7 linked regions of the Macaca fascicularis genome follow. The protein of the gene in region 5 purifies or fractionates together with the protein of the main gene of each other region. This does not show direct contact. Links are inferred from orthologs where the notes say so. Each region holds a gene or a part of one and is shown on either strand. Other genes may lie near its edges.

What was found.
Region 1: the proteins of TGFBR1 (region 5) and SMURF2 purify together in Homo sapiens (affinity purification with western blotting; 8 studies listed by BioGRID). This does not show direct contact. The link is inferred for Macaca fascicularis from reciprocal best matches to the Homo sapiens genes TGFBR1 and SMURF2.
Region 2: the proteins of TGFBR1 (region 5) and SMAD7 purify together in Homo sapiens (affinity purification with western blotting; 19 studies listed by BioGRID). This does not show direct contact. The link is inferred for Macaca fascicularis from reciprocal best matches to the Homo sapiens genes TGFBR1 and SMAD7.
Region 3: the proteins of TGFBR1 (region 5) and SMAD2 purify together in Homo sapiens (affinity purification with western blotting; 8 studies listed by BioGRID and IntAct, with this or other methods). This does not show direct contact. The link is inferred for Macaca fascicularis from reciprocal best matches to the Homo sapiens genes TGFBR1 and SMAD2.
Region 4: the proteins of TGFBR1 (region 5) and ENG purify together in Homo sapiens (affinity purification with western blotting; 5 studies listed by BioGRID and IntAct, with this or other methods). This does not show direct contact. The link is inferred for Macaca fascicularis from reciprocal best matches to the Homo sapiens genes TGFBR1 and ENG.
Region 6: the proteins of TGFBR1 (region 5) and USP15 purify together in Homo sapiens (affinity purification with western blotting; 4 studies listed by BioGRID). This does not show direct contact. The link is inferred for Macaca fascicularis from reciprocal best matches to the Homo sapiens genes TGFBR1 and USP15.
Region 7: the proteins of TGFBR1 (region 5) and SMURF1 purify together in Homo sapiens (affinity purification with western blotting; 3 studies listed by BioGRID). This does not show direct contact. The link is inferred for Macaca fascicularis from reciprocal best matches to the Homo sapiens genes TGFBR1 and SMURF1.

What each region holds. Positions count from the first base shown.
Region 1 is NC_088390.1:71,251,091-71,255,136, forward strand, and holds the start of SMURF2 (E3 ubiquitin-protein ligase SMURF2), read right to left. Parts: upstream 2,801-4,046; 5' UTR 2,338-2,800; coding exon 2,286-2,337; intron 1-2,285. UniProt on the Homo sapiens protein: E3 ubiquitin-protein ligase which accepts ubiquitin from an E2 ubiquitin-conjugating enzyme in the form of a thioester and then directly transfers the ubiquitin to targeted substrates.
Region 2 is NC_088392.1:40,812,622-40,816,836, reverse strand, and holds the start of SMAD7 (mothers against decapentaplegic homolog 7), read right to left. Parts: upstream 2,801-4,215; 5' UTR 2,311-2,800; coding exon 1,698-2,310; intron 1,266-1,697; exon of another isoform or gene 1,153-1,265; intron 364-1,152; coding exon 310-363; intron 1-309. UniProt on the Homo sapiens protein: Antagonist of signaling by TGF-beta (transforming growth factor) type 1 receptor superfamily members; has been shown to inhibit TGF-beta (Transforming growth factor) and activin signaling by associating with their receptors thus preventing SMAD2 access.
Region 3 is NC_088392.1:41,863,437-41,867,577, reverse strand, and holds the start of SMAD2 (mothers against decapentaplegic homolog 2), read right to left. Parts: upstream 2,801-4,141; 5' UTR 2,706-2,800; intron 2,345-2,705; 5' UTR 2,259-2,344; intron 1-2,258. UniProt on the Homo sapiens protein: Receptor-regulated SMAD (R-SMAD) that is an intracellular signal transducer and transcriptional modulator activated by TGF-beta (transforming growth factor) and activin type 1 receptor kinases.
Region 4 is NC_088389.1:16,137,664-16,141,804, forward strand, and holds the start of ENG (endoglin), read left to right. Parts: upstream 1-1,341; 5' UTR 1,342-1,370; coding exon 1,371-1,767; intron 1,768-4,141. UniProt on the Homo sapiens protein: Vascular endothelium glycoprotein that plays an important role in the regulation of angiogenesis. Required for normal structure and integrity of adult vasculature. Regulates the migration of vascular endothelial cells.
Region 5 is NC_088389.1:58,992,357-58,995,856, forward strand, and holds part of TGFBR1 (TGF-beta receptor type-1), read right to left. Parts: intron 2,810-3,500; coding exon 2,567-2,809; intron 1-2,566. UniProt on the Homo sapiens protein: Transmembrane serine/threonine kinase forming with the TGF-beta type II serine/threonine kinase receptor, TGFBR2, the non-promiscuous receptor for the TGF-beta cytokines TGFB1, TGFB2 and TGFB3.
Region 6 is NC_088385.1:69,325,284-69,328,783, reverse strand, and holds part of USP15 (ubiquitin carboxyl-terminal hydrolase 15), read right to left. Parts: coding exon 3,492-3,500; intron 2,623-3,491; coding exon 2,507-2,622; intron 2,330-2,506; coding exon 2,057-2,329; intron 1,670-2,056; coding exon 1,599-1,669; intron 1,216-1,598; coding exon 1,100-1,215; intron 446-1,099; coding exon 296-445; intron 1-295. UniProt on the Homo sapiens protein: Hydrolase that removes conjugated ubiquitin from target proteins and regulates various pathways such as the TGF-beta receptor signaling, NF-kappa-B and RNF41/NRDP1-PRKN pathways.
Region 7 is NC_088377.1:47,609,424-47,612,923, forward strand, and holds part of SMURF1 (E3 ubiquitin-protein ligase SMURF1), read right to left. Parts: intron 3,104-3,500; coding exon 2,966-3,103; intron 1,632-2,965; coding exon 1,511-1,631; intron 198-1,510; coding exon 1-197. UniProt on the Homo sapiens protein: E3 ubiquitin-protein ligase that acts as a negative regulator of BMP signaling pathway. Mediates ubiquitination and degradation of SMAD1 and SMAD5, 2 receptor-regulated SMADs specific for the BMP pathway.

The sequences.
Region 1 (4,046 bases), on a different chromosome or scaffold from region 5:
AAATATTTTATTTGGCTTCTCAAGATGGACTGAGAAGTTGGGCACCAGCTCCAGACCAATTCCTGGACGCACATCAAACACAGCCCCGTCATCTATCCAGTCAGTCAAAACAATCTTTTCCATCTAACCCTTTAATGTTTATGTCCTAAAAAGCTGCTAATTGAATCCAGCTCTTGAGATCTATTTGCTAAAATCTATACCATCTAATTTGTAAATGATGAACAAAAATGGAAAAAAAAAATGTTAACTTTCCTGGCAAAACAGAAGAGACTCCACTGTAACCAAAGAAGGAAGGACAATGTTTTTAATATTTGTCAAATTTTGAGAGAAAACGATTCAGAGACAAATAGTTGCAAGAAACTCAGAGTACCTCAAACTGTTTTTACTATTAAGAGGACACAGGGTATTTAAAACTCCTCAGAAAAACCTGAAACAAAATCACTATAAATGTAGTTCAATATTCCCTCTTCCCCTAAAATATAAGCATAATCTTTCCTCTTAACAAACTTTAATTATAAATTTTTATAACGTATCATAGGTAGTACGGAAACCACAGATAAACACTTTAAGATCTACTGAGTCATACTAAAAACCTCAACTAACTTTATTTGAAGAAAATCAAAATCCCTATTTTTTCCCTCATCTATATAGCCCAGAGGAAAGTAAATGGAAACAGCCAATTTCTGATGCTTTCTGCACACCTGGGATCACATGTTCTTTCCACGATCACTGACTCCAGATAGCAACAGCAACAGATAAACTCGAAAGCAACAAAGATCCCCTATAAAGGTTTCCATTGTCTCCTCCCAATATAAGGACACTGAATGGGGGAGAGCGGGGGAGAAGGGGGAATACAAGTATCCTGCAATCCAGGTTTTTCATTAAGAACCACTCAGTTAATGATTCCTTGCAATTTTCCCTAGGGAAAGGAAAACTGTCATGAAGGTAATATATTATTTAAATTGCAGCCAACATACATTCAAGCTAAATTCTCAAATACCAAATTCACTGCAAGGTTTCACCCAGCAAGTTCAGCCAGTGGACTGAGATGTGACACATAAGCATTCAACTACAAAATTAGTCCAAATAAATCTCAAAGTCTAGTGTGGGCAAACATAATTACAGTTGATTCGTACACGTGCACGCACACACAAATCCTCTACGGAAAATTATCTTTCTCACCACTCACCCGAATATAAACGTGGACAATTTATCAGGGGTAAATGGTGAAGGTAGGATAACGACGTGATTTCAATTCCTTTTCAAACCAAATACAAGTGCTCCTAAAACGGGGGTGGCATGTCCATGTAAGAATACCAAAAATGGCACTGTAAGTAAAACGTACCTGTAATATTAAAGATTTCATGCACCTGGAATCATAAACACTTTGTAAGTGTAGTCTTCTATCTGACAACCCCTCCGGACATACTTTTCCATTTAGAAAAAGGAAGGGGGAGGGTGGGGAGAGTAACAGAAAGTTTGCTCTAAAGTTTGTATGAGGACATACTTAGAAATGTACCCCCTCCCTCCCCCCAAAAAAGTGTGTTTTTAAAGCAGGTCGGGAGTTAGAAGTGAGACACGAGTTCTGCGGCCTACAAGGAACAACCCCAAACATGCCACCCTACAATCAGACACTTCCAAAACACAGTGTACAATGAGCCCGAGCCGTCGGATCAGACAGGCACACCGGAAAAGTCAACCTGTCTCCTCTCCTCAGAGAGACGTGAGTTCAAGGTGTGTGGCCCCGGCAGCGGTGGCCGGCGGCGGGGAGTAAAGGTTTTTCATGCGGGCATAAGTGGGTGTGCAAGGTAACAACCCGGGAACACACACGCACACCCTCCCGTTAAGCGCTCCATCTTTAAGGAGTGTTTACTGCGCGCAGTCAGCAACCGGATTCAATAATCCTCGCCACGGGAGCTCTTCATCCCCTTCACGATCCCACCTGGGCGGTAGCCCAGGGGCTGCTCCCCGAGACCCGGGAGGCAGCGTCGGGCTCCTTGACCAAGACTTTCCGACCTGAAATCCGCCTGCGATGCGAACCGGTGTATCCTCCCCTCCACAAAAGACCACCCCCACCCCCCGCCCCGAGTCATCCTCGGCTTTTTAAAGAATGCCCAAGCCGTAGCAAGTGGTTTTCCAATTACTCTCCCTGAACTAGGCCTTCCCACTCCTCCGACCCCCAACTCACCATTGATCGCGACACTGGCCCTTCCTAAGGCCACAGGCACCCCCCGCCAGCTCGCCCACCCCGCGGCTGCCCAGCCCGGCCCGCCGCCCCCCCTCACCTGTCAGGCGCAGCTTGACGGGCCCGTTCCTCCGGCCTCCGGGGTTAGACATGTCCCCGGCGGCGGGGGCGGCGGGCGGGACGGGGACGGGGGCGACGGCGAGGCGCGGCGGAGTCACCACAGCGGCCGGGGCTGGGGCCCGAGCAGCCGGCGCCGCGGCCGCCACGGCCGGAGGGTCCCGGATGTGCCGAGCGTCGTCGCCATGAGCCGCGGAGGGAGCGGGACGCCGAGCTCCCCCCTCCTCCCACTTCTCCTTCCTCGGCCCGGGCCGCACAACAAAGCGGCAGCCGCGGCCGCCCGCGCCGCCTCCGCCCGCGCCCCCGCCGCCTCCTCGCGGGCGCAGCGGCCTTTCCTTCCTCTCGTCTCGGCGAGGCCCAGTAGCCGACGGGGCTGGTCGGCTGAGGCGGGCGGTGCTCGGCGACGCCGGAGCAGGACTCTGGGCTCGGCCGCTTCCTCCTCCACCCGCCCTCTTGTCTGAGGGACCCGGGACCTCGGGCCGCCGCCGCCACTCGTCTGCTCCAGGGGGCGGGGAGGAGACGGGAGGCGGGGCCGGCGGGCGGGGCGGGGCCAGCGGGGCGGGGCGGGGCCAGGGCGGGGTCGTCGGGCGCGCGCAGGGTGCCCCGGGCGGGCACCGGCTGTCAGAAAGGGTGTAAGTTGCCGCGGAGGGTCCCACGAGGAACGCGGGGAGGGAGCAGGCAGGGAGCAAAGTGGCGGCGGGCGCGGCAGCTCTGTGACACCTGGAGGGATTTAGTGTCCGGTCCACTTAAGGGAGAGCTTTTGTCCCAACAGCGCCGACTGCATTTATTAGACGCCCACTGCGTGCAGGGCGCTCCTAGAGACTGGGGCGAGGAAGGTTAGAACCGAGTCCGCTGCCTCCCGGGAACTTAGCGTCTTTCGGACGAGGGAAGAGACCGCATTCCCACGCCGATGGTTCCAGCAAAACCCCAGGAGTGCTCTGCTCCTAGTCTTGTAGTTGACACCTCCATCCGGAACTCACCTGGTGGAGGAGATAGGGTTACCTGCCGACTCCCGCTCTTTTCAGGTGCAGCCAAGGATAGGGAGATGATACGTCTTAAAGGATTAACAAGATAAACCTTGGAGAGTAATGTGTGAAGAGTTGTTAATACACTACTGTATTTCGTTATCTCAGGAGGAGAAATTTTTTTTTAAAAATGTGCGCCTTATCCTTTGACCTTGTAACTGTACTGCTAGAAATATTTTTTCTTTTTTTGGACAGGGTCTCTCTCTGTCATCCAGGCTGGACTACAGTGGTGCGATCACGGCTCCCCGCAGTCTCAACTTCCCGGGTTCAGGTGATCCTCCCACCTGAGCCTCTGGACTAGCTGGGACCAAAAGTGTGCACCGCTACGCCCCACTAATTTTTGTATTTTTAGTAGAGACATGTTTAGTAGAGACATTTAGGTTTTCCCATGTTGCCCAGGCTGGTCACGAACTCCTGACGTCAAGCGATCCGCCCGCCTCGGCCTCCCAAAGTGCTGGGATTACAGACCTGAGCCACCTCACTGGCCCTATTCTTGACAAATAATCGTACAGAAGATGTTCTTTGTTATATTCCATTAATACCAAAAGGGGAATGAGGGAACAGCATAATGGTCCAGGAACCGCATGGTTTTTTATGCAGCCATATAACTATTTTTATGAAGATCATATACTATGGAAGAATGTATATGTAATGCAAAGTTTAAAAGCAGAATAGAAGTTGTATGCATATACATGTGAAAATATCTAGCACAATGTAAA
Region 2 (4,215 bases), on a different chromosome or scaffold from region 5:
CAAGACACTTCTTTCTGGACTAAAGCTTCCACGTATCAAAGCTGAGCCCACCGGCTACAGAGCGCAAATACAGGAAAAAGGAACAAAATGTAAAGCATATCAAGGGAACATCTTTGCAAAAACACAAAACAAAAACCCAGTCACAACAGAAAAATTCACCAAACTTCCAACAGAGGAAACCTAGAACCAACGTGAAGTGAAGCAAGTCCAGCACCTCTCCAAGCCTTTGCCTACACACAAAAAGCCAGGTTCTAGAGGCTCTATTTCTAACTTAAGATAGGAAGGATATTTTAAAAATCATCTACTCACCAGTTGGTTTGAGAAAATCCATCGGGTATCTGGAGTAAGGAGGGGGGGGAGACTCTGAAATTAAAAAAGCAAGAGAAAATAAAGGCCCAGCCATGAGAAGAGAGATAGAAACTTATGATAACAGAAGCATTCTTTTAGCCCAACTGTTTGTCTTAGCTGTGGGGGTTGGAGGCAGGGCCGCGAGGCGGTGATTGCCTTGATATTTAGCTGTCAGATAAACAAAAGAGGCCGCCTGGCGCCAGCCTCGGCGCTCCGCTCCTCCACGTCTGCGGCCGCCGCCGCCGCGCTCGGCTGGCCCGGCTGGAAACCACCGGCTCAGCCGGAGCCGCGCACTTCACAGTTCACAGGCGGGGGGCGACCATACCCCCTCCCCGTTCTCGGACTCCAGACCTAGCTCCCAGCAACCTCGGTTCCCCGCCCTGGCCCGCCCCCCAGGGGTGCAATTCACCTCCGCCCCCGCCGGTCCGCTGGGCACCCGCGCGAGGGACACGGGGCTCCCCATTCCCAGCGCACTCGGGAGATGCAGCCCAAGCGTGCTGGTGAACTTGGGGGATCTGCGGTCGCCCGGGGTGAACCCTCACATCACACTCCGTGTACAGAGACATACAGAAAAGGAAGGAATGGAGAAAGCTGACAGGATAAAAGGGAAGAAGTTTCAGGGTCTCAGCCGAGAAGCCCTGGCCCCAGCGCAGTAAGGGGCGACAACGTCACCGAGGCGCAGGGCCCCACTAATCTATAGACTTATCTGTGCGGAAGGAAGGAAAAAGTAGGGGACACCCAACTTCTCCTGGCTGTTTGTTCCTCTGCACCCTGGGGCTGGCAGAGTTGAAATGAGACAGATACCCAGTTCGGCCTTCCATCCAACTCTCTTTGCCCCAAAACTCCAAAGCTGCGCGGCCACGACAGTGTCTGGGCCACTTGTGTTCGACGTGATTCTCCTTATTTACTGAAGGAGTAAATACGGAGACCTTCCAGCCTTTTTATAGCATGCTTCTCCCAGCCTTCCTTGGCGGGCCTGGACCAAATCCAACTCGGTCACACACCTCAACGCCTTTCCGGGTGCGGGGAGGCGTGACCCCCCCATCTCCCTCTGCACCCCCTTGTTGATCCGGAAATGAAGGCGTCTAATTTTTAACCGCAAACTGTGTGCAGGAGCAGTGCCCATAGACCCCTTCGGGGCAACACAGGAGAAATCCTGGAAGGGAAACCCCAGGGAATGCCCTTTGAGTTTCCCCGTGTCCCTTCTCTACTTTCGGCCCCCAGTCTCCTCCCAGGAGGGGATGCACACTCCCCCTGGAGGGGTGGCTGCACAAACGCACTGCCCTAAGGGCTTTTCTTCCAGCACTGGCGCGCCGGAAAATGCTGGGGGTAAGGGGACAACTTCTCACCTAGTTCGCAGAGTCGGCTAAGGTGATGGGGGTTGCAGCACACCAGCTCGGGGTTGATCTTCCCGTAAGATTCACAGCAACACAGCCTCTTGACTTCCGAGGAATGCCTGAGATCCGGCCACCTGAACACTTTGCACAGCAGGAGGGGGAGCGAGTAGGACGAGGGCGGCTGCGCAGGCTGCGCGCTGGCGGGCGCCCCCGGGCCCAGCCTGCAGTCCAGGCGGCCGGGCAGCAGGAGGCACGCGGTGCGCGTCCCGCCGCGGGACTCCACGGCCTGGAGCAGCAGCTCCAGCTGCCGCTCCTTCAGTTTCTTGAGCACCGAGTGCGTGAGCGCCTTCAGATCCGCTTCGGCGCCCCCGGCCGCGCCGGCGCCCGCGGCTGGCGGGTGGGGATGGTGGTGACCTTTGGCACCTCGCACCGCCTTGCCCAGGCAGCATCCAGCCCTGCCCGGGCCGCCGCCACCGGCCCCATGCGCTCCGCTGTCCGTCGCCCCTTCTCCCCGCAGCTCGCCGCCTCCTCCACCTCCCCCCGCGCCCTCCTCCTCGTCCTCGCCGCCGGGCGCACGGCTCCTCCAGAGACGCCGGACGAGCGCAGATCGTTTGGTCCTGAACATGCGGGGCGAGGAGGCGAGGAGAAAAGTCGTTTGGCGGCTAAGGAGCGAACATGACCTCCGCACACCATGAAGAAGTCGGGCGCCGAGTTGGGGCAGCAGGCGCAGGCGACAGCAGCAGCAGCAGGGGCCCGGGCAGGAGCGGCGGCGGCCCGTGGGGCGCTCCGTGGCATGCGCCAGTCTCCCGGAGGCCGGGGCGCGCGCGGGGGCCCGGGGGCGCCCGCCGGGGATCGGGGGCCTGCGCTCCGGCTGCCCCACCCCGCGCGGCCCGCGCCCTGCGCGGCTCTCCGGCCCCGGCGCGCCCCGGAGGAACCCGGCCGCCGCTTCCCTGGGGACGGCCGAGCCTGCCCCCGTCGGCGCCTCCCCAAAAAGAGGCCCCCCCGCAGTGGCTCCCGAATGTCGGGCTCGCCAGCCTCGGCTTCCTACATGGAAGGTCCGCGGAGGCAAAAAAGCGAAAGGCGTTCGGCTGGGCTGCTGGAAGAAGGAAAAAGCCTCTTTCCCCCTTGCTAAGCAACTTAATTTGGGGGTGGGGAGAAGCAGGCAATTAAAAAAAAAAAAAGCAAGCACGCAATTTATTTTTTTTCTCTATATCCTTAGTAACCGGATCTCCTCGAATTCCGTGCACACGAAGACTCAGGGGAGGGGGCCGAGTGGACTTCACCCCGCATGAGATGTCTGGCGAAATAAGAAGGCTCTCGCAAAACCTAACAACCAAATATGCAAAGCCCCAAATGAAAAACACCACCTCCTCGAACCTCTGAGGTCTGGGGGCGTCCGGCTGGAGCTGGGGTTTAAAAAAAGAAAATGTTTACAAAGTATAACAAGATGTTTGAGGGGTGGAAAAATGTATCCACGAGTTACATCCCCCCCTTTTTTCCTTGCAAAGCCCCGCTGGTCTTCCTCTCCTTCTGCCAAAAAAAAAAAAATCGTGTATTTTTTTAATCCACAGAAAGCTTTGGCTAGACCGCTTCAATCCTGCGCATCTGGGTGGTTTAGGGGAGTCTCTGGTCTTTCCTCCTGCGCTCCTGGGGGCCCAGGTCCTCGGCGGGGACTTCCTCGAGGCTGGCGGGGGCGCAGGGGCAGAAGATGCTGCGGCGGCGGCTGAGCCCGGCGGGGCTGACAGCGCGGGGGAGGGCGGCGCGGCGGCGGCGGCGGCGGAGGGCCCCAGGCGGGTCGCGCGTTCTCGCCCCCCCTGGGCACAAGCTGCTTGCTAGTGCGGGGGCCGCCGGTGTCCCTTCCCCTGGCCGCGGCTGCCCGCCGAGGGTCCCCGCATGGGCTGCTCGCCTGGCCCCAGCAGCGGCGGCAGGAGGCCCCGGTGTCCTCTCGGCGCCTCCTCCTCCGAGACTCTCCTCGTCGCGCCCGGGAGCCTCCTTGTCCCCGGTCCGCCCTCTCCTGGCGCTCTGGTCCTTCTGCCGCCGCCAGGGGCTCGCCGCGCCGCACTCTGGGGCTCAGGGGCCGGGCGTTCGGCGGCTCGGCGGCGGCGGACTGGCTCTGTCTCGGGCAGCTCTCTCCCGCGCGGCGAGCGGACCGAGCACGGCGCCCGGCTGGCTCGGCTGGCGCGGCTCGGGGACAAGATCTTCAGTGCGCCGAGCAGCAAGCGAGTGTGCCCAGACCTCGCCGCCTCCCGCAAGGCCTCCCGCCCCCGCCCCCGCCCCCTTCCCTCCCCCTTCCTCCCCCTTCCCTCCCCCGCCCCCAGCCGCCGCCGCCGCCGCCTCCTCCCCGCCCCCCCGCACCCCCCCTCCGGCCCTCTGCTCGGCTGGTTCCACTGCGCAGTGGCGCGCCCGGCTCCGGCCTCGTCACGTGGCCGTCTAGACACCCTGTCGCTTTAAAAAAAAAAAAAAAAAGCGATTGTGTTTCGCAAACAACAGATCGGGTTTCTAAAAGCTATTTCTCCCCCCAACCCCCCGC
Region 3 (4,141 bases), on a different chromosome or scaffold from region 5:
CTAAAAGACATGTCCCCCTCCACCCTCTAAAAATGACTCTTTGTCCCAAGAATATGAATAAATCTCCATCTGCCAGGCTGCACTAAATACAGCTTTTATATGCATTACAAAAACACCTGTATTTAAAGCTGCTACAAAAGGAGGTTTTTGGAGCCCTAAAGCACAAAACCAACAGAATCAAAACCAAAAAAGAATAAGGAAAGTCTTTTAAAACTGACAGTATTTGCAAAATGTAAAAATTCAATAGGTCTTTGCCCAACAGTTTACACAGCTAAACTGAGCTTTTCCATTCACATATATTCCCCCAAAGGTGAAGTAACCAGATTATAGCAACATGATTCTAATATTTACAATGTGAAAATGAAAAGGTGACAACCACCTCTGGCCATCTTGAAGTAGAATAGAAACAACCTTTGTTTCTATCAAAGAGAAGTTTTGTTGAAATACACAAAACCATCCCCAATATTCCTACACCAGAGTTAAAACACATACCAAGCCTGGTAAGTCACAAACAACAAGAAATTACCCTGCACAGTTTCTTAAAAGACTATTATTTCACGAAGCGTACAGACTGTGTAGAGACATGACCACTTATGACTAAGTAAACGTAGGTTACAACCTTGAAAAATCAAACTTTTGTTGAACACCTACAATGCTTGTGGCCGCACTTAAAAAGGTGTGGCTAAGTATAAAAACCAAGCTCTAAGAGCATTTTCTTACTAAAACCCCCAAAATCAACGTTTCCAATCACGTTACATTAAACCTGGCCAGTGAACTGCCTTGAACTCAATTAAATCCAATAGAATTTAGTATTTATAGTAAAAGTGGGTACACTCTTTACAAATGCCAAAAGATGTGAACTATTTATATTTACTACCAAAGCTTAGTTTACGGCAAAGGGTAAGGAACTTTAAAAATAAAAGTATTACTTTTGAATTTAATATAAACGTCTGCTAAATGACCTTCTGGCAGAGGAAATTCTTTAAATATCTTGTATGGGTTTTCCGAAGGCAAACTTTTTAAAAACCCTCAAACTATGGTATATTTATGAAGCTCATTTTAAATTATTTCTTCCATCTCTGCTTCACTAATTCATGTATTAAAACTGTTGAAACTCCATTTAACAATTTAACTTCTCTGTAAGATAGAAACTTTTTTAACGGGGGTTAAAGTAGAATAGCAAATTTTCAGCATAAGAGCAAATTTATTATTAGGCTAAAGGAAAACATCCTATCAGCGATTCATTCATACGAAACTATCAGGTTCAATTCATATGAAGTCAGAAGAGAGAAAAAGAATTTTGGAAATTCACATCGCAAAGATATTTCTAAAAAGATGTAACTATTCCAAGTTATTTACTTATTAACAATTATTTTACACATGACATTTTAAAAGTTTCACACACCCAAATTTAAGATAGTCCAAATTGTAACAAACAAGACATGACTTTGATGGAAAATGCTGCTTGCAAACTCGTTTTCCCTGGAGATTTCTTTTTAAAAGATATGGTTGACAATACACTGGTGGTATTTTGCTTTTAAAGTGTTATGAGGAAGGAATAACAAAACCAACCCAGGTATTTTCTGTTTAGGATCAAAAGGAAATCGTAAGGATAAATAAAAGACAAAAAAGGGCCTGACCCAAGGACAGTATCCCCCTCCAAGAGAACAAAGTAAGTTGCAATTTTGAAAACCAAGTTTGAAATAAAAGAAATCACTTCGAGGGCTTTTCCAAAAGCGGGTGATAAAAACTAATAGGCTCCACCCGCAGAACTTTCACAAGTGAGTGAAGGATGATCACAGTTATCAGCTGTGTGCGTGTTTGTGAGTACACACAAGCCATGGAAAACCCGAGACTACTATGGTTAACAAAGGTTACCGGACCAAAAAAAAAAAAAGTGGAGGCAAAGTATTACGCGCCCCTAACAAGGCTTCCCCACAACTCCTGAAACAAGAGCTCTGGCCCTTCGGCTTTAAAAATCAGAACCACAAACTATGGAGTGTTAGAGCCGCGAGGGGAAGGGACGCAGGCAGCCCCCACCCCCGCCAGGCTGGGCGGCAGCGCCGGGCCGCCGAGCACCGTACCTCCCCGGCTCTCTGGCCCCGAACCCGCACGCCCGGGCCGGCGCACCCACAGCCCCCGAACTCACCACACCCCAGCCCCCACCCGCCGCGGCCATGTGACACAGCCCATCGCCCGGGCCGCGGACGCACGCAAACACACCCCTAGCCGGAGGCCCGCGGGCGCTCAGGCTTTACCTGCACGGTGGCGCCAGGTCCCGCCCCGTCAGATCCAGGGGGTCCGGGACCTTTTGTTCCTTCCTCTTCCGATGGGATGGAGGGGGCTGGGAGGGGAACAGGGGAATGGGCGATTGGAGGCGGAACTGAAAACACTCCCGGCCGCCGTCTTCCCGCCCCGCCCCCAGGCCCGGGCCCGGCCGCTTGCCCCGGCGCGCGGGAGGGTAGAGGGTAGAGGGAGGGTAGAGGGAGGGGAGGGAGGGGAGGGGAGGGGAGGGGACGGAGCCTGGCCGCCGCCCGCGGGGAAGGAGGGGGTGAGGACGCGCGCGCCCGCGCTGCCCCTCCTCCCCTCAGGCGCGCGTCCGCAGCCCTACCGGCCGCCCGCACGGCCGCGCCCTCCACCGCCAACCCACCTCCGCTTCCGCCCTCCGCCCTCGGCCGCCGGCCGCCGCGGCGCCACGCACCCACCTCCCGGCGGCTGGCGGGCTGCTGGCTGGCGAGCTGCTCCTCCGCCGCCGCGGCCGCGCGGGTAGACCCGCCTGCCACCCTGGGCCGCGGGCCCCGCCGATTCGCCAGCGCAGCCCCGGGGCTGGCACCCTGCCGCCCGCTGATTGGCGCCTCCAGCCGCCCGTTAGGGCGCGAGGCACGCCGGCCGAAAGCCGCGCGGGGCGGGCACGGAAGACGGAGGGAGCGGAGGAGGAAAGGAACGAGGCCGAGCGCCGCGGGCAGGGCCGGGGGGCGAGCAGGGCGCGGGGAGTCGCCGGCCACCGCCTCCCCACCTCCCTTTGCCTACGGCCCGCCCCGCCTCCCGGCCGGACCGGCGGCGCCCGCAGCCAATCAGCACGCGGGGAGCTCGGGGTGTGAGCCGCGCATCGGGGGCCTCGAATCGGAAGGGAGACGTCGCTCGCTGATTGGTCCCGCCTCCCCAGTCTAGCGTGAGGCGAGGCGAGGCGGGGCGCGGCCGGGCGGGGCTGGACGCCCGCGGTTTCGCTTGAGTTGGACTCCTGCGCGCTCCCACCGGAGTTCGGGGGCGGCGGGGGAAAGGCCTGCGCCCTGCCGCGCGGGAAGACGATTCCCGGCGACCGCCCGATCCCTCGCCAGCGTCGTGGGGTAGGGCCTGTGGGGGCCTGCCGCTTCGTCCACAGTCCGTCGTGAGGCCGGCAGCGGACACGTGCTCATCCCACTGGGAGGCCCCGGGCAGCCCGGAGGACGCGCCTAGGAGAGAAAGGGGGTTTGGGAGAAGCCCGAGGACCCGTCCCGCGACTGGGCGCGCCCTATGCAAATGAATGGGCGGGGCCCTCGTGCTGCTGAACGAGGGTAGGTTCGCGATGTAAATAAGCCCAGAGGTGGAGTCTTTGGAGAGCACTTAGGGCCCGGGTAGGGGATGCCAGATCTAAGTGTTTAACCTAAATCTTGGTTCCGTCTTCAGTAAAAATGATATCAATAATCCACGTCCCGAAGGGTCTGTGAAGTCTAAAAGAAAGGCATGTCATAATGTCCTCTAATGGCTGGGATATCTTCCCTTCCTCTTTTCTCCCGTTGCGGCGTTTAGGCCCCAGCTTGGGCATCTGCCCTACAGGAGGCAGCAAGGCCCTAAACTTACCACAGACCAGGGCATAACCGCACCCAGGGAAAACCTTGTTGCTTTTACCCTTAGGAGCACCCAGGCCTCTGCTGACAAAATATTGAGCCCAACTAATCACATCAGGTGTTTACTATGCACCCACTGTGACACAGGCAGGGAGTACCGTAGAACTAAAGTTGAAAAGAAACTTAGGTCTCACACAGGTGCCAGAGACAAGACTAGAACACGGTTTTTTTGGGGGTGCCTGTCCAGTAATTCATTCTCATGTATGGCTTACTTTATAGATATAATTGGGGACTTCAGATAAGCGGGAAAGAAG
Region 4 (4,141 bases), about 43 Mb from region 5:
CCCCACCCCCAACTCACCCCGTCTTTCAAATGGCAGGCTTAAATGCCAGCCCCTCCAGGTGGCCCAGGCTTCCTTCTCTGAGCTTCCATGGGCCTGGCCCTGGGTGCTACCTCTGAGTAGCACCATGGTGGGCACATAGTAGGTGCGCTTACTGTTTGCAGAATGAACATGGGACAGTTTGGGGACTGTCACCCAGCTCAGGGAGCACTGATGGGGAAGCATCTCCCGTATGTCCCAGGGCTCAGTGCTGTAGCGTCCTCACCCTCAGAAATCTCATAATGACTTAGCCAGGAAGGCATCGTGCCCCACTTTGCAAGCAGGGGGCGCTGAGAATTGAGGGGCTTTGTCCAAGGTCTCATGGCTCAAGCAAGCAGAGTAGGATTTGAACCCAGGGCCATGTGACTTCAGAAGTGCCATTAAAGTCCCCATCATTTGGAGTTTTCTTTTTTTTTCTTTTTTTGAGACCGAGTCTCACTCCATCATCCAGGCAGGAGTGCAGTGGCCTGATCTCGGCTCACTGCAACCTCTGCCTCCTGGATTCAAGTGATTCTCTAGCCTCAGCCTCCCAAGTAGCTGGGACTACAGGCGCATGTCACCATGCCCGGCTAATTTTTGTATTTTTAGTAGAGACAGGTTTTCACCATGTTGGTCAGGCTGGTCTTGAACCCCTGACCTCAAGTGATCCACCTGCCTTGGCCTCTCAAAGTGCTGGGATTATAGGCTTGAGCCATTGCACCTGGCCTGGAGCTGTGTTTTGTCCATGAAGGATTTTCCACCCAGGAAGGGGTCAGATATGAAGTGTGTGGCCCTGGGCAGCTACTCTGAGCCCAGAGACCCCAGCCGTAGCCACCTTGCTGTGCCACAGTTTTCCCGCCTGCTAGGCAGCCCCATGTCAATTGCACTTAGTAGGCCGGGTTTGGTGCCTGACAAGACATGAGGTGGTGGAGGTGGGCAGGATCCCAGCGCTACCCTCTTCTTGAACCAGTGATCTCAACACATCGGATCTCTGTTTCCTCATCTGCAAAATGGGATCATTGAGCTCAGGGGGTCACAAATTCCACAGGAACTACTTTAGCCAAGCCCAGCCCCGTGAAAGGCCCGCTCGGTGGGCTGTTAGGGTGATTGTTTTCATCTGTGGGGCTGCCTGATGCGTCCCCACCCGCCGGCCTTGGAGAGGGTGGGATGGGAGGGTGGGGTGCTTGGGGAGACAAGCCTAGAGCCTGGGCCCTCCCACCCCACTGCCTCCCCCCATCCCAGGGCCCCCCACCCAGTGACAAAGCCCGTGGCACTTCCTCTACCCGGTTGGCAGGCGGCCTGGCCCAGCCCCTTCTCTAAGGAAGCGCATTTCCTGCCTCCCTGGGCCGGGCTGGATGAGCCGGGAGCTCCCTGCTGCCGGTCAGACCACAGCCTTCATCTGCGCCCTGGGGCCAGGACTGCTGCCGTCACTGCCATCCTCTGGAGCCCAGCACCCCTCCCCGCCCATCCTTCGGACAGCAACCCCAGCCCAGCCCCGCGTCCCTGTGTCCACTTCTCCTGACCCCTCGGCCGCCACCCCAGAAGGCTGGAGCAGGGACGCCGTCGCTCCGGCCGCCTGCTCCCCTCGGGTCCCCGCGCAAGCCCACGCCGGCCCCGGCGCCCACCCGCAGCCCTGCCTCTGGACACCGGATAAGGCCCAGCGCACAGGACCCCGCGTGGACGGCATGGACCGCGGCGCGCTCCCTCTGGCTGTTGCCCTGCTGCTGGCCGGCTGCAGCCTCAGCCCCACAAGTAGGTGTCCAGGGACCCGGGGTGGGGAGACTCGGCCTCTGGTGCACAGACCAGGCCCCAAGTACTCCCGGCCTCCTTCCTGTATCCTGAGCTCACGCCCAGCGGAGTCATCCATGGGGCTTTGGAGGGTCACCGACCCTCCCAGTTTGCTGGAACTAAACGATTATACAGGACTTTCAGTGTTGGAAAGCCTCGGGCAAACTGGGCTGACTCTTTCACTTCAACCCTGGTCTCTGGCGTCTGCTCACCCAGCTGTGTTCCATTACTCCCCGGGAAGCCTAGGTCCTAGAATGCTGTGCAGCCACAGGAGAGTTTCCTGCCCTCTCTGGGCCTTGAGTTTCCCCGTGAGGAATGGATGGGAAGGAGGGCCCATAGCCTGGGTTCTGAGCACTGGCTCTGGGTTCAGATGTCACATAGGCACTTCCTTGTGGTGTGATCTTGGGGGACTGCCTTCGGGCCTCTGAGCAAAGCGGGAATGACAACAGACTTCCCTCAGCTGCCGAGAAGGTTGGTGGTGAGGGATCATTGCAGAGAGGGCTCTGACAGACTGGCCCCTTCTGTGTTGTTTTATTTTTAAGTTCCTCCAGCTCACCTTCCCCAGGGCCTTTGAGTAGCTCCTAAAACCGAACAGGCCAAGGCTGCAGGGCCCTGCTCTGCCTCCCTCCCACCTCCCTGATCTCCAGGAAGGGTGCGGGAGTGGGTGCCGGCCAGGTTAGGGATTCTGTGGGGGCTCCTCAGCCTGGGGGGCTCTTCCAAGGGGTCATGGCCTGTGCTGCTTTCTGAAACTGACAAGAGGAGGGGCCGTGAGGAGCCAGGGACCCCCAGCCCCACGTCCCACTCCCTATCCCTCGGCCACCTCAAGCCACTGGCCGGTCCTGTGGACAATCCTTTGACCCACCTGCGCATCCAGGGGCTTTCTGATGGATCTGGGGGAAGAGGGGCAGAAGGGGGCTGCGAGTGTGGGGAGGAAGGGGAAGGAAAACAGCGGTGGGGCAGCCACCGTCTCCTCCCGTCCCCACCTGACGGCATTTTAGAGTCCCTCATTCTAGGTCTCTAAAGCTCTGCCCACCACCTGACTGATAGGAAACTGAGTCTCAGACATATTAAGTGACTTAGCAGGGATTTGACTCCTAGCCTGAGGCTCCCTAAATGTTTGCTCCTAGCAAGGTGTGATAGGGCAAACCTTCTTAATGCGGCTCACAACGACCCTGCAAGATGGCTGCCGTCATCGTCCCCATTTTACAGAAGAGAAAATGGAGGCTCTAACCTGCCAAGTTCACACGGCTAAGACGAAGCCCCTACCTAAGCTCCAAGATCTCCCTCCCACGCATTGCTCGCTGCAGTAACACTCTCTTCCTCTTGGTCATTACAGAAAGGTGCATGCAGACATTTAGGGCCTGGTTTTTAAGGATCAAAGGCAGTGGTGTGCTGGTAAATAATTAACAACAGGGTGGGGGGCTCGGTCTGTAGCGTTTGTGGATTTCCACAGCGTTTAAGTACTCCCACCTGGCTGACTTCAAGCCACCAACTCACCAAGCTTGTGGATGGGAATCAGTGCCCAGTGCACCTGGCAGTTGGTTCTCCAGAGTCTCTGCAGGCGCAGATCACATCAAGAGCAGAGATGACAGTCAGGGGTGTAAAACGATTAGGAAGAAATGCGTTTGGACATTCGTGCTCTTTTAAAAATATATAGTAATAGCTATGTAACAGCCAGTTGGAGAAACTCCTGGAAATGTCTCAGTCTGCTTCTATGAACAGGTAGGAGCTGGTCCCAGTGCACCAGGGGTCACAGGCTCAAAGATACAACAGACCATCAACCCAACTCATTTATGGTCTGGGAAGCTGAGGCCCATGGAAGGCAGAGGGGAGCCTGGGACCAGGGCCTGGAACCCAGATCTCCATGCCGGGGCTGGGGGTAGGAGTGACCCCGACATCCTAGAAATGGGTCTAGAATTTGGGGCCACCACTTGGAAGAATCTCCTAAAACTGTACCTTGCGTGTAACTTGTTACCCTCACAAATCAACCTTCAGAAGTCAGCCTTCTAGAGTTACTCGTCCAACTCTGTAAAGATGTGTGGTCCATGGGTACCTGTAACAAAAATCCAGTAACTGGAAATGATCTAAATGTCCATGAGCAGAGACTCTTAATAAATTACCATGGAGTATCATGCAATAGGCACCAAGAAGACAGAGCTATATGAACACTGCCATGGATGGATGTCAGGGACACACTGTTAGGTGCCCAAACAACAATAATTCCATTTCGGCAACATTAAAATAGTAATAATGTACAATATGCAATAGAGAAAATTCTGGAATAGAATTTTCTATTTAACCCACTCTCACTGTTCTGTGGCCTGGGGTTTTCTCTATG
Region 5 (3,500 bases):
ACTTACTCACAGGCACTACTCTCATGCCTAAGGTGGCATTAAGGATTTATAATGAATAGAAGGGAAACAGATGGCATTTTCTGCTATTATTCACCAGAAGATGGCTTCTGCCTAGATAGGTTTGTAGAGAATTCAGTACACAATGAACTATGACAGGTAAAGGAGGCCTTAAACTAAGTTTTGTACAATGTAGTCAACTGATAATGTATGTTAGATTTTTCTTCCAAGTATGTTTTCAATAAGAGCAACACTTGTCATTTGGACATAACTTCACAATTTACCAAGCGCTTTCATGCCAACATTTTGTCTTGCTTGAACTCACAACAACCCAATGATGTGCACAAAGCAGACTCCATCACTTTCATTTTAAAGATGAAATAACTCAAGCATGAGACATTGGTTAACTGCCCAAAGCTACAGAGCTAGCAAGCAATGCAGACAAGTTTTTGCAGGGTAAGTCATAAAAAGAGGGAGAGAAGCTTTCAGAGAACAGAGAGCTATGGTCCCTCATGGATCTAGAAATATATATATATATATATAATGGAAACAGAATTATTCCATTCTTTTTCATGTTTATCTCTTAAAAGGTTAATGAAGATATTCTTATTCAGTAATCAACTATCACCCACCCACCAATTCCTTTAATCAATTAGGTGGGCTTATTCCACTGTGGCAAGTGGCATGAGCTGCTGTCTTTCCGGAGTGTAAGTTTAGAAACAAGACAACAGGTCTGAGGGATTAATTCCAAATGATCTGAAGCCATCCTGATTTTCTGTGACTCTGGTCCTTGATTATCACAGTCTTGAGCAGGATTACTTCTAGAATGAACAAAATCTTTTTGAAGATCTGAACTGAGAATAAATGGGAAGTCCCAGGAAAGCTCTAAAATAACCTCCGTCCACCACTCCTGCCCAAAGACTATCACACCTTCAGTACTAAGATGGCTCCATCTAAGTCCAAACTCTCATTGTCTTCCTTACACAACTGTTTCAGGAATCCCTAAGCTTGCCTTCTGATCTGAGCTCCAGTGCAAGCCTGTATGTGTCCTAGTAGTCAAAGAGAGAGTTCTCTTATGAATACATACGGCCAAATTCTACAGAAGAATAATTCAGGTAATAAAATCAGTTTCTTCATTCTTAAATGAATAGATATGCATACATAACAATATATATTCATTTCCTTAAAATAAATAGACATTTGTCATTATATGAGCTTTCTGCAACATTAGATGTGATTTTATGCTCAATTTCTGCTTTAATATTCCTTTAATATCACTCAGTTATAAAATTAGTGAATTTTTTTTTTTTGAGATGGAGTCTCACTCTATTGCCCAGGCTGGAGTGCAATGGCACGATCTCAGCTAATTGCAACCTCCACCTCCCAGGTTCAGGCGAGTCTCCTGCCTCAGCCTCCCGAGTAGCTGGGACTACAGGCGCATGCCACTATGCCCGGCTAATTTTTTTGTATTCTTAGTAGAGATGGGGTTTCACCAAAATTAGTGAAATTTTCACTATATATGCTTTCCAAATTTTCACTTTATTCATGAATTTAGCCCTTATTTAAAGACGACTCATACTTTTCAAAGGATAGTATATCTCATTTAAAAGTCTTAACAAACCACTTGAAGTGTTTTTATCAGCAGTATGGGTTCCATATTTTTGATGAGGAAACAGAAGCCCAAAGAGGAAACATGTTTTAACCAAGGTTATACAGCCAATCAGCAACAAAACTTGCCTTGGAACCTAGATCTATTTATCCTTAGCCAAGTGTCAAATTCTAAAAACACAGGCGATAGGAGTGTTCCTCTCTTAATACTTTTCCAAACCATATACAAAAAAAAGTAGAAGATAACGCCCCTTCAGTTTAAATATGAAGCACTGCTATGCCAAAATCCACCTTGGGATGACTCTGACAATTAGCTCATCTACTTCTGATGCCACAAATATCAACAAATAGAACTGGGAAAAGCAAATCTCATTAGGGGCCAAAACTACATTAAATAAGAAGGTGATTAGACATTTTTCTGAAGTGAGAAAATGACGTAAGAGTTCATTAGTTTAATTTTAAAAAACCAGGCCTATACAAAAGACAATTTCATATAATGTTTAAAAAGCAAATAACCTTCACAATTCTGAATAAATTTTTATCATGCCTGTTTTCAAATATAAACATCAGGCTGCTAAACAATCCTGAATAGAACGGGTTAGTTGCAGATCATTTGAACATCTTTGAACTTCGGCTTCATCCATATGAGAATAATTGTTCTTATCCTTTCTACCTCACAGTGATGAAAAGCAAATTAGATCATACAAGTGAGAACGCTTTGAAATTTATACCACCATGGAGCTGACTGACTTGCTTTATCAGTTAAAGTAAGTTCCAATCTATTTTAAACCAGCCACAGTCATATATACATCAAGCTTAAAGATTTTTATTAGTTTCAAACCTGGAATATTATTTATATTATCTCACATTCTAACAAGTTGGCTTATTAGCAAACTAATAAAATAAGTATCACTTAATTTTAAAAAGACGTCTTAGGAAAAAGGAGAAACAATTACATTACCTGAGCCAGAACCTGATGTTGTCATATCATAAATTAAGTCTTTCAACGTAGTACCCTCTGAAATAAAAGGACGATCTAATGAAGGGTCCTCTTCATTTGGCACTCGATGGTGAATGACAGTGCGGTTGTGGCAGATATACACCATCAACATGAGTGAGATGCAGACAAAGCACACTGGTCCAGCAATGACAGCTGCCAGTTCCACGGGACCAAGGCCAGGTGATGACTTTACTGAAAAAGGGCCTTGAGTGAAATAAACATCAACAACAACAAAAACACTGTAGGTGGCAACCCCCATTTTCCTAATCCTACACAATTCCTGCAGCTGGCCACTGCCACCACATAGCCAAAGAGCCTCATTACAGCAGTTTATAGGGCTCAAACCCAGAACAAGTGAATCATTCAGTCTTCTCCTACTAGGCCTCCTTTCATGCACACCAGCTCTGTCAGCACCCACTTACTCCTTCTGTACTCTTCAGCCATCATTACAAGGCCAGCTGCTACCAATATCATAGTACCTTCCCCACTTATCACATCAGGTCAGTAATACCAATAACCTGTAACAATACCCATTAACGTCTCCTTAAAAATCATATATATTTTTAAAAGTGTGTTTGACTTGTCTTCTTGTTCCAAGGCCAGTACATGCTCATAGCAGGAAAAACAAACAAAAATATCAAAACAAACAAACAAACACACACATACATCTTCATCACTCCCAAACAACTCACATTTTAGTATTTATATCTCCACCAATTTTTTTTTTTTTTTTTTTTTTTTGAGACAGAGTTTCACTCTTGTTGCCCAGGTTGGAATATAGTGGTGTGATGTTGGCTCACTGCAACCTCCGCCTCCCGGGTTCAAGCAGTTCTCCTGCCTGAGCCTCTCAGGTAGCTGGGATTACAGGCATGTGCCACCATACCTGGTTAATTTT
Region 6 (3,500 bases), on a different chromosome or scaffold from region 5:
TCTTAGATTTATAAATGAGACCAATTAACCCATAGGTAATATAACACAAAAGGAGTTTTATTGTTTTTAGTTTTTAAAAGTATATTTCCTCTTTGGTCTTTGGAAAATCTCTAAGAAAAAATAAAAATTTTGAAACACTGATCCTTATAAATTGTTAGAACTACTCAAAAACAAACTTGAAAGCTGAAATTGGATCCAATGGCACCTGATATTTACTAAAGGATAATAACAAAAAGCATCAAGTAAATTTGAAAGAAGAGTTGCTCAATACTTATAAAATACAATTAAAGCTTACTTGATAGGGAAATCAACTAAGGTATCCAACTTGTCTCTCATGTATCGACTGTAAGAAAATCGCTTGAGATGTACTACAAGTACTGGAGGCAAGGACCATAAATCCAATTTCTTTGTGGCTTGCTGATGTTCTTTACAATTCGGACAATACCTAAGAATAAAGAGAAGTATTTAAAGCTTGATAGAGGTACAAACAACCCCCATTAATGAAAATAACAAAAAATGTTCGGAAAGTTCTACATTTATTCAGTGGGCAATTATCGTATGCCTAATATGTACCAGGTTGAAAGCAACTCTTGTTATTTTTATTTTCAACACATTTTCCAAAAAGGTTAAACCATTATAAATTAATATACAAACCAATATTTAAAGACATAATGAGGGCTAGATTATTTCTCTTTTAGTATGCAAAAAAGACATCTGTGCTGGAAGATAGGTATTAGAAAATCTCAAAACTGGGCTCTAATGGAATAACATCACAAAATATATCACTACACTTTTCCTAAAAAGCTTCTCTCAAAATGATTACGTAGCTAAAATTTCTTGGAAAACAAGTAACTAAAATGAATTATTAATAGTATAATGGCTATTAGGAAAAACACAGTAATAAAATTAAGGCAACACTGTAACAGTATTTTTTAAGAACTTCCTATCCCTCTTAAAAGGCTACCACTTATATAAAGAATCCTTTACTATTTAAAACATCAAAGAGAATTTAGTAATTACTTTTTCAAGTTAATGTGGCACGTATCTCAGAATAAACCCTTAAAGAAAACATAAACAATTATTTAATTTTGTCTCTTACCAGGGATCTTCAGCACCTAGCTTTTCTTTTGTTGTAAAAAGTTCAATGCAATCTTTTAATTTCACAAAGGGTTTTTTAGGAGGTTTATACTCCACACTTTCATGTTTTTCAAAGTCCTAAAGAGAAGTATTTCTTGAGTTAAGAGAACAAATGAAACAAAACTCATTTTAGTGGTACCATCTTACTATGAATAATAATGAAAACTCCTAAACTTTCTCAAAAGAATCATAAAGCTTATTTCAGTTGAGATTTATATCATACTTCTAAATAATTCCTGTACACTCCTATATGGATGAGCAAAACATGTTCAAAATGAACTCTGAACCTTTGGGGAAAAAAAGGTATTTTTGCAAAGACTTTCTTTTCTAGTTCATGACCACTTTTTTACTGGCAAAATGAACATTTGGTGGAAGCAAAGAATGTAACACAACAGTATGATTATCTCTGGTAATCACATAAAGTAAATCAAGGAAAGGTAAATAAGTGAGTGATGACTTACCTCAGCAGCATTTTCATCAAAATATCGTTTTTTCAAATCAGGATCCCAATCCAAAGCAAGAAAAGATCTTTCTAAGGTGGAAAACATATTTTTTCTTTAAAATTTAATATGTCTTAGTATTAAAGTATATTTTAATGTTAGGATATACACTAGAATAAATAAATAGCAATCTTTTCTACTTGTACAGGTGATTAGGGCAAATAGCAGTTTCCAAGCCATTGAAATAATTTAAAAGTTTAAAAAAAGATAGAAAACTTAAGCATGAATTCAATCTCCATTTATGAAACACAGACACACATTTTGGTCTACTTAGATATTAAGTCCTTTCATATAAAATTTGAGATAGAAAAGTAAATGGTGTATTTCTTGACAGGGCTGAATTTCATGGTTTTCACCTAAAAAACAAAAAAACATGCTCTGCTTGTTTAATGTTCAAGCCATTTTTCACAAATACTTACCATCTAGCCTAAGCTGCCTATCATCAAATCTTATATGTCTGGTATCATCTTTGATGTAGTTGATATCAGTATTGCCTAAGTTGTTGAACTGGAATGTAAACAATCGTTTTTTGTGTCCCGTGAGTTGACCTTTGCAAGTGTCCTCAGTACATAATCCATTTTCAGAATCATTATCTCCTCCAACTGAATCTTCAGACTGACTGTTTTCATTCTCTGAGGGAAGTTCTTGATCCTGGCTGGATTCATCATCTGGCTCATCTGTTTCCATTTCACCTAATTTTAGATATTAGAGAACTTTAAATAAACTCAATGTTATATTTTTAAATTATTAATATTATTAGTCGTAGGTTTGCAGGTATTTTTTAGCTCTTTAATTCCCATTTTCTTAACTTTCTCTCTGAAGCAATTATTTAAGTGAAACATTTTTATAATTTAACAGAAAAGTCTTACTTGGTGAGCCTTCTTCATGTATGCCATTTGGGCCATTCCCATTAATATTTTGGTCCTTACAGCAGTGTAGGGATCCTTCAGTTTCTTCAGTTTCAGTAGATATTTTGACATATCGGCTTAAGTAAAATCAGAAATCAAACAAGTTCAGTACTACAAAGATAAAAACTTTAAAAATGTTTTCATTCTATCAGTAAAACAAAACTTTTTAATGTAACAGTGGTCACTTAGTAGATTCAAGGTTAAAATCAAACTTACAGTACCATACATATAGCTGACTAATAATTTGTTTTGCTCCTCTTTATAAAAATAATTAGTACGTTACCTTTTAGGTTAAATGTTAAATATTTGTTGCAAATAATTTCTCAACTTATCCTCATTTAGATGGTATATATTGTTGCTAAAAACACTTATTTTTGTATAATGTGATCTTTACATATGGGTTATGAAACCATAATAATTAGATATGCAAGAAAGAATACTAAATATATCAGCTTTCAAAGATAAAAGGGATCAAATGACATTCTTGATAACTTTATAATTCAAATAAGGGGATTTAGGAAGGCAAAAAATAGGCTGCCTTACAATACTATTAATCATGAATTGGTAATGTATATAAAGAAATGAAGCATTTGACATTTGTCATTTCACAGTGCAAACATATAGCATTTGACATTTGTTATGATTTCACAGAACAAACATGTAACACATAATTATTATAACATAAATTCCTATTTCCTTCCAACTGTAAACTTTTGGCCTAAAATTGCTACAGACTTCATGCTTCCTGGGTTTGAAATTACCTCCATAATGTGTTTTACGTGAATAAGAAAGTGGATTAGGACTATAATCTGACTATAAACAAAACTGAGACAATACAGACTTGTATAATTATATTCTGATAGTACCTTGTGTGTTTATTTTTATTAGCTATTTTATATTTTATTCCCATATTTATTTTGTCAATGTAGAATTGTTTGGCACTTACCACATTCTC
Region 7 (3,500 bases), on a different chromosome or scaffold from region 5:
AAAGCCTTGAAGCCTTGGAGCGGGACCCGCGTGGATCCAGTCACAAACTGCAGGAGCCTGGCCCTCCTTTCTTCATCGAACGTCTCCACCGCTTGCCAGAACCACCGCACGATGTTGCTGTCGGCCACACAGTGCTTCAGCCGCGTGTTCGACTTCCAGTCGTTCAAGTCTATTTTATCCAGGCCGCCTATGATCAGCTGAGGAGGTGCAGAAAGGTGAGTTACTTCCAAAATGTATAAACCCACGTCAGGATGCGTCTCCTAGGTACCCGACACACACACGAGTGAAAAGTCGGTTCCCAAGCAAAGCAGCAGCTGTGTCTAAATAAACTAGGCAGACGCTGAGATGGGAAGAAAGCTACACACAGGAGGCCTGTGGCACATGCTTCCGTCCGCCGCCTCCAGACGGGTCTCCAACCCCAAGGACCACAGTGCACAGCTGCTGATGGGACGTTGTCTTATAACCAAAGCGGGGTTTTTGCTCTGCATGGGTGAGCAGTATCAAAGCACCAACGGGTGACACTGAACAGAGCTACCACCATGAACAAGGGCACGTCCCAGGGTCTCTCCAGGACACTCAAGGACATGTGGAGTTTCGAGTCTGAAGAGAGGAGAATTCCGCAAGAGTTACGTGGGGCTGGGGCTGATGGGGCGTGTTTGTGCAACTGGCTTAAAAAGTTCACCCCCTGCTAGGTGCAGTGGCTCATGCCTGTAGTCCCAGCACTTTGTGGGGGCTGAAGTTGGGCGGATTGCTTGAGCCCAGGAGTTCAAGGCCAGCCTGGACAACATGGCAAAACCCTGTCTCTACAACAAATACAAAAAGTAGCCAGGCATGGTGACGGGCACCTGTAGCCTCAGCTACTTGGGAGGCTGACGTGGAAGGATTGCTTCAGCCTGGGAGGTCGAGGCTGCAGTGAGCCACGATTGCACCACCGCACTCCAGCCTGGGCAACAGAGCAAGGCTGTCTCAAAAGAAAAAAAACACAAACGTTCACCCCAGAACTACTGCTCCATCCAAGCTCTTGGCTCCCAAGCTCTCCTCACTGGCAGCAGAAAAACTTGGAGAACAATCTACAAGGCTTGAGCTGTTTGGCACCAGAGATGGAGAAGGGCTGAATGAATCACCGTGTTCAAGCACATGCAGTATGACTAGAGAATACAATAGCCCCTTGTTCTTAGTCTAGGAACAGCCAGAATAAAAAGCAGTAAGTTACTGCTGTGGGAGCACCTGGTTCTCCCCCGCTAGATACCCTGAAAACAAGGGAAGCCACAACCACCTTGACCAGTTTTCCGGGAACTATTCAGATTTCCTACCGCCAGGCAGACATCTCGCCGGTTACCAACCGGCATAAACACCTTCTACTCCCCACTCTTGCTCTAGTCTGGGAACCCCAACAGCTCCTAGGCTTACTAGGAAACGGCCGCTCGCAGCAAGGATTTAAAACAGGCAGACGCCAGCCACAGGGGAGCCCCCGAACGCCCTGGGTCAACTCCGCACGGCAGGCACCTACCTCCAGTTCCTTCTGGTCAAAAGGCTTCAGCAGGTGTTGAGGGATGAGCTCATTGAACCCCTTCTGCAGAGCTAAGAACTGGGCTTCAATTCCTCTCATAAACCTCCAGTTTACATACAGCCTGGAAGAAAAACTCGCAAGTTGGATGCAACACCAAGTGGATTTTCCACCATGGGCAGGCTTTTTTTTCCTTTTTTTTTTTTTTTGGAGACAGGGTCTCACTCTGTCACCCAGGCTGGAGTGCAGTGGCGCAATCTCGGCTCACTGGAAACTCTGCCTCCTGGGTTCAAGCGATTCTCCTGCCTCACCCTCCCCAGTAGCTGGGATTACAGGCACCCGCCACCACGCCTGGCAAATTTTTGTATTTTTAGTAGAGACGGGGTTTCACCATGTTGGCCAGGCTGGTCTTGAGCTCCTGACCTCAGGTGATCTGCCCGCCTCGGTCTCCCAAAGTGCTGGGATGACAGGCGTGAGCCTCCGCGCCTGACCTGTGAGCCGGTTCTGATACCACAGTCTGACAAACATGGGAACACACTGGGATCCCCCCCAGATCTCTCCACCAAGACAGACATACCACCAGCTAGTAGTACCAAACCTTGGCATCACGTTAAAAATGACTCAGTGCATGCCCTGATTCATTCCGATTCGCCCCTGAAAACAGGAGGATTGAACCTGATCTGTCACATCAATTGCTGCAATTTGAAAGCATGTTCTGGCCAGGCACAGTGGCTCACACCTGGAATCCCAGCCCCTTGGGAGGCCGAGGCAAGAGGATCGCTTGAGGCCAGGGGTTCAAGACCAGCCTGGCAACATAGCAAGACCCTATAAAAATGTAAACAATTTTAAATGTGTAAAAGTACATTTGAAAGTACAGCACAGGACAGCGTGGCACACAGACGTGCCCACATAGTTCTCAGCTGCAAGTGCCGAGGCCTGAACATGGATTTGCCTCAAGTTAGGGATGGAAAAAAACTGAGAGGGTGGCTTCCTCGGACGGAGCACCGAGACCCTCCAAAGCCACTGCTCTCTCCTTTGCCTCTGACCTCTGCATCCATAATTAGGTGGTCACTGAAAAGTCCTTCCCCACATGGGTTCTGTCCCTCAGGCCAGGCCTGGCCCCATTAGGGCCCCTCCAAGCAGATCCCCGATGCTGCTGCTGAGCTGTTGGTTTCTGAAAGTCGCCTCTGTTCATGTGATCTGATCACAAGTGCCAGCCATCACACAGCGAAGGAGCTACAGCAACTAAATGCAGGCTCGGCCTCGCCCCAGGCACCTGGCTGTCCCCCACAGGCGACTAAACGCAGGCTCAGCCTCACCGCAGGCACCCGGCCGTCCCCCACAGGCGACTAAACGCAGGCTCAGCCTCGCCGCAGGCACCCGGCCGTCCCCCACAGGCAACTAAACGCAGGCTCAGCCTCGCCCCAGGCACCCGGCCGTCCCCCCAGGTGGCATTACCGGACGTATTCTTTCTTGTTCTCCTCTGTGACCGGCACATTTCTGCCATTGGGTTTCAGTTCATGCTGAAGGATCCGTCCGAAGGCGTTGTGTTCCACGCAGAAGGTGTGGTCCAGTACAGGCGTGATGTCGTTCTCTCTGTTGAAATAAGACAGGAGGATGTAGGTTAGAGCTCTGCCACCACGTGGGGTCATTGGGTAGACAGACAACATTGACGACGGCCAGACCCGGGGCTGCAAGAGAGGACAGCTTTGGGCAGACACAGAACCTGTGTGGGGGCGGCACAGCAACAGGTGCTGGAGGACCTGGACATCACAGCTCTGGTTCAGATGTCCCCACTCCTGGCTTCCACAATCATAGAAGGCGGGGAGCAGGTTGCTCTACCATCCTGTGGTTTCAGGAAACCCACAACCCAGCTGCTTTGTACGCTGAGTGTGGGAGTCAAAAGGCAGGAATGTGAAGAGGTATCAGGGTCAAAGGGAAATTGACCTGGAGATGAAGCCACGCCAAGAAAATGCCATTCCCGGCCAGGTGC